Linked DNA regions of Sus scrofa. The protein of the gene in region 1 binds, or shares a complex with, the protein of each later gene. Links are inferred from orthologs where the notes say so. Each region holds a gene or a part of one and is shown on either strand. Other genes may lie near its edges.

Region 1 (3,522 bases):
CACAGTTTATTTTAGCTTTTTGCCTGAGTGAATTTAATTAGTCTCTTAATGAAAAAAGTTACATTTGGATATATGTATATGTACATATATGCTTATATATGGATTTGTATATAAATGTATTTGGAAACCAAACTAGATCAGGGCAATAGCAGTATTTTGACTACTAATTTGAATGGAAACAATCTGTTTTGGGGTTTTTATACCTGGAAAGAAATGTGTTTGTATGGAATACAGTATCTCAAAGAAAATAAATTTGTGCTTGCTTCCTCTTTTGTATACTTCAGAGGTCTCTTTTATCAAAGCTTTTATGCACTGCCAGTTGTTTATAAGTAGATTAATATATAAGTTGTAATCCATGAGCTTTTTTTAACACCAGAGAGGAGTTAAATGAATCATATGTCTGTTAATATTTTATGCATCCTTTAATTTGCTCTTTATTTATTTATTTATTTATTTTTGTCTTTTTGCCATTTCTTGGGCCGCTCCCGCGGCATATGGAGGTTCCCAGGCTAGGGGTGGAATTGGAGCTACAGCTGCCGGCCTACACCATAGCAATAGCAACGCCGTATCCTTAACCCACTGAGTAAGGCCAGGTATCAAGCCTGTGTCCTCATGGATACTAGCCACAACGGGAACTTCTTCATATTTGTATATAAAGTAAATTTTTCCTTAAATATTGCTTCATCACAGATAACCCTAACTTTTAAGGTCATGCTGACTGTCAAAGCCAGAATATCCCCAAACCTAGGGCTTATCGACAACAGAACTACCCTGGGAGCGTTGTCTGTGCACTGGTGTTTGGTCTGCAGGCTCTTCGCTACTGGCTTGCAGTGAATACAGCAATTGAGGCTAAAACTTTATAGATGTTTATAGTAATTCTATCTTGTCATGACAGTGAAGAGCCTTTTAAATTATATTCTATAAAAGTATGGTTCTGTAAAGGATTAGTATTTTTCTTTCTTTTTTTAGGGCCAGAGGTGTGGCATATGGAAGTTCCCAGACTAGGGGTCAAATAGGAGCTGTAGCCACTGACCTACACCACAGCCATAACAATGCAGGATCCAAGCCGCGTCTGCGACCTACACCGAAGCTCACGGCAACGCCAGATCCTTAACCTACGGAGTGGGGCCAGGGATCGAACCTGAGTCCTCGTAGGTACCACTGAGCCCCAAAGGAAACTTCTAAGAAAAAGAAAAGAGAAAAGGACCTTTTATGGCTCTGATAGTTTAGGAAGCCTCCTTTGCATGCACATGTTGGAGGGCAAGTGTGTGCCTCCTGCAAAAGCTGCCTCTGTCTAAAGAAGCTGTAAAGAATGCAGATGTGTTTTTTTGGTTTAAATCATTCCTAGAATTCACGTTTCTAAATGTTTGATTTTTCTCTTTATAGCATATTGTTTGCAGACGGTGACTGAAGATAATCCAGAGCTACTAAAGTCTTTCAGTGCCCCAGCTTTGCATGTTTTGGAATCAGCAATGCTTTCTCCGGTCAATTCCACGGAATATATTCTATTAAAGACATTGGTGGCAGGTAAAATGTAGCCATATGCGATAGTGTGCTCCTTCCTTCCTTCCTTCCTTTCTTTTTGTCTTTTTTGCCATTTCTTGAGCCGCTCCCTCGGCATATGGAGGTTCCCAGGCTAGGGGTCAAATCAGAGCTGTAGCTGCCGGCCTACACCAGAGCCATAGCAACGCCAGATCCCAGCTGCATCTTCCACCTACACCACAGCTCACGGCAATGCCAGATCCTTAACCCACTGAGCAAGGGCAGAGATCGAACCCGCAACCTCATGGTCCCTAGTCGGATTCATTAACCACTGCGCTGAGAGGGGAACTCCTATTTTTTTTTTTTAAATTTACTTTTCTTTTTTTTTTTGCTTTATAGGGCCGCACCTGTGGCACATGGAGGTTCCCAGGCTAGGTATCCAATCGGAGCTGTAGCCATCAGCCTACGCCAGAGCCACAGCAACACAGGATCTGAGCCATGTCTGCAACCTTCACCACTGCTCATGGCAATGCCGGATCTTAACCTACTGAGCGAGGCCGGGAATCGAACCTACAACCTCATGGTTCCTATTCAGATTTGTTAACCACTCAGCCACGACGAGAACTCCCATTCTTTCATTTCATCACATCAGGGCTTTGTGTGCTCACGTTTGTTTTGAAACTTCTAATATTTAAGTAGCCCCCAGTTCAAGCAGTTTTGCATAATTTCAGAGCCTTCTGAGACTAGATTGGTTTTCAATTTACCAAACTACTGTTGTCTGATAAATGATGTTCTCAGGACCCCCTCCCCCTGCCTATTTATAAACCATGGAGTTCGGAAGTTGACCGTAGGCCTCTTTTCTATAAAACCTTCACCCAGCACTTCTCCCATGAATTTCTAAATACACAAATAAGAAATAACCTGATGACATGTCGAGTAATAGTAATTTATTTTGTATTTTCCTCTTGCCCTTTAGTCTTGGAGGGATTTATCTTAAGAGGAGTTTGGTTTTTTTTTTTCCCCCCTCCTAAACTGGTAAAATACACATAACATAAATTTTACCATTGTAACCATTTTTAAGTGTATAGTTTAGTGGTGTGGAGTATGTTCACATTGTTGTATGACCAATCTCCAGAGTGCTTTTTTTCTCTTTAAAAAAAATTTTTTTTTGCTTTTTTTTTTTTTAGGGCCACACCTGTGGCCTGTGGAAGTTCCAAGGCTAGGGGTCAAATTGGAGCTGCTGCTGCTGGCCTACACCACAGCCACACGGATCCGAGCCACTTCAACTACCTACACCATAGCTCATGGCAACGCCAGATCTTTAACCCACTGAGCAAGACCAGGGATTGAACCCGTATCCTCATGGATACTAATTGAATTTGTTTCCACTACACAACAACAGGAACTCCTTAAAAATTTTTTATTGAGGTATAGTTGATTTACAGTGTTGTGTGCCAATTTTTGGCTTACAGCAAAGTGACCCAGTCATACAAATACATACATTCTTTTTCTCATATTATCCTTCATCCAGAGCACTTTTCACCTTCCACAACCGAAACTCCATACCCATTAAAACAACCCCCCTTTTCTCCCTCCTCTATGCTCCCCAAAATGCTATTCTCCTTTCTCTCTCAATGCATTTGATGACTCTAGGTGCCTCATATAAGTGGAATCATATAGTATTTTTCTTTTAGTGACTGGCTTCTTTCATTTAGCATAATAAAACTTTCATCCATGTGGTAGCACATGACAGAATTTCCTTCCCACTTTTTGTTTTGGTCTTTTGTCCTTTTTTTTTTTTTTTTTTTTTTTTAGGGCTGCATCTGTGGCATACTGAGGTTCCCATGCTAGGGGTCCAATCGGAGCTACAGCTGCCAGGCTACACCACACCTCACGGCAATGCCAGATCCTTAACCCACTGAGTGAGGCCAGGGGTCAAACCCCGTAACCTCATGAATCCTAGTCTAATTCATTTCCGCTGTGCCACAATGGGAACTCCCTTTTTCTAATTTCTTTTTTGACCACCTTTTGGCATGTAGA
Region 2 (2,325 bases), on another chromosome or scaffold:
TTCTGGTAGCCAAGACTGCCCATTTTCAGCAAAAATGGGAATCATTTTGGGCATCGTGAAGATGGGATTTCAAGCATAAGATATATATATAACCTGTACTTGCGTAAAATGTGTTTTGACTTTTGAATGGTTTTTTAAAGTAACTCGAAATAGCATCTCTGGAATGCCAGTAAAGATTGAAATGATAGTCACAATTCCTTAAGCCGAACACAGGAAGTTCTCTTGGTGCATGACAATGGTTAATGTACTCTGTAGCGTTGCTTCTCAGTTTTCCTGGGCATTGTTAGACATGCTGGATCTCAGGTCCCACCTTAATCTTACTGAATTAGAATTTACATTTTAACAAGATCCCCAAGTGCTTTGTATGTACTTAAGTTTGAGAAGAAAGGGATGTAGGGCTCTAGACCCCACATCGTTGAAGGGATGTGTACTGATGGAAATTGTTAATATGAGAGTTGAACGCTAGATTTTTACTAGATCATAATGGTGGACACCATTAAATAATATATATATTCTTGTTTCATAGCCAAAGAAAAAGAAAAATATCTCTCATGATACTTTTGGTACAACTTATGGAAGGATTCATATGCAGAAGCAAGACCTAAGCAAACTACAAACCAGGAAAATGAAGGGGCTGAAGAAGCGACCTGCAGAAAGGATAACAGAGGACCAGGAGAAAAAAGCAAAGAGAATTAAAAAGAATTGATGGAACTTCACCAATAACTGCATTTTTATTTTTAGCCTTTACCTAATGAGAATTATCAAGTGGTGATTTCTTACAAGATTTTATATATTTTTATAACTTGATGATTTCATCTCAACTATATATTATATATATTATGAACAGTAACATTCTAGTATTAGGTTGGAAGTTAGCCTCCTACTTGAGATACTACATTCTGATACGCTGTTTTCTTCCTGTGATGTGATATTTCCCTCTCCCCACCCCCCAACAGGGTCCTCTGTCTCATTTGGTAGGTGAGTGAGGAGTGATCTCCAGAATAACCAGTGGTATTTTAGAGAATTTTGGACTAAGTTTTAGATAAAGGGAGGAGAGTCCTGGAGAGTAGAAATGGTCCAAGGTAACTACATGCTTAGTATGAGCTGCCTGGAAAGTTGACCCCAGCTCCAAACAGACACCTATAGCCTGAATTTTATTTTTGACTTTCCTGTTATTTTGCCTGTAATTCTACCTGTTCTCTAATCTCATTTTGAGATTTTAAGCTCTGTCTTAAAACATAGGTCTCTAAGAGAGGTGTCTACTACCTGATCATATTTCTTTCTTTTTTTTTTTTTTTTTGTCTTTTTGTCGTTTTTTGTTGTTGTTGTTGTTGTTGTTACTATTTCTTGGGCCGCTCCCGCGGCATATAGAGGTTCCCAGGCTAGGGGTTGAATCGGAGCTGTAGCCACCGGCCTACGCCAGAGCCACAGCAACGAGGGATCCGAGCCGAATCTGCAACCTACACCACAGCTCACGGCAACGCCGGATCGTTAACCCACTGAGCAAGGGCAGGGACCTAACCCGCAACCTCATGGTTCCAACCATTTTGACATTTTCTTGAAGCCTGACCTTGTGCCTAGGAAAATGGGAAAACACCTTCTATTTCTTCCTCCTAGAAATACCAACTTATTTGCCATAAGTTTAGAATTTAGTTTCCTTGATTAACTAACTCCCTGGCAGAGAAGCTCCCTTATACACAGAAAAACAAATGCCTTTGTTTTCAGTTCTTTGTCAAGGAGCCCCTCCATGCCTATGTGTACGTGTGTTTATGTGAGTTTGTTGACATGAAACAAAAGCTGGAACCTCAATTTTGCTTCCTGCATCCTTTCTCTTCTCTTGTAAACCCATTCTTTGGCCCTCCCTCTCCCTAAGCCTTTCCAAATGCCTAATATTCTCCTCGTCCCTATAAAAATGAGGGAGCTGTTGTCACTCACACTGTTGCCTGATTGTTCACTTAAAACAAAGACTGCAGTTTTAGATCTGAAGCAGGTATTTGTATTTTATGGCTAAATGGGATAAAGGGCTAAGTTAAAATGATTCATATCCTGCCTTCTGCATATAGATGGACAATGGTTGGGGAGAAGGGGCGTCAAGAAAGGAGCATCCGAAGTGGTGGGTGCACAGTCCTTCCCCAGGGCCTGACCTCTGCCTGGTCCAGGTAATGCTAATGGAGGTAGTGATTTAGGAAGGAGGCAAAGCAGTGGGTCTTCACCAGCTACGTACGGGAAGGACCCTGCCACACTGGGCAGTTAGCATCATAACCCCATGCCATCTTGGGCCCATTCGGTTCCTCCTGTCCTTCAGCTGACCCATCCTAGGGTAGT

The links. The genes of interacting proteins can lie anywhere in the genome.
Region 2: HEATR3 (region 1) and RPF2 share a complex: the UniProt entries of both Homo sapiens proteins name them as parts of the hexameric 5S RNP precursor complex. The link is inferred for Sus scrofa from reciprocal best matches to the Homo sapiens genes HEATR3 and RPF2.

Annotation. Positions count from the first base shown.
Region 1 is NC_010448.4:34,745,662-34,749,183, reverse strand, and holds part of HEATR3 (HEAT repeat-containing protein 3), read left to right. Parts: intron 1-1,386; coding exon 1,387-1,527; intron 1,528-3,522. UniProt on the Homo sapiens protein: Plays a role in ribosome biogenesis and in nuclear import of the 60S ribosomal protein L5/large ribosomal subunit protein uL18 (RPL5). Required for proper erythrocyte maturation.
Region 2 is NC_010443.5:76,957,419-76,959,743, forward strand, and holds the end of RPF2 (ribosome production factor 2 homolog), read left to right. Parts: intron 1-526; coding exon 527-706; 3' UTR 707-1,809; downstream 1,810-2,325. UniProt on the Homo sapiens protein: Involved in ribosomal large subunit assembly. May regulate the localization of the 5S RNP/5S ribonucleoprotein particle to the nucleolus.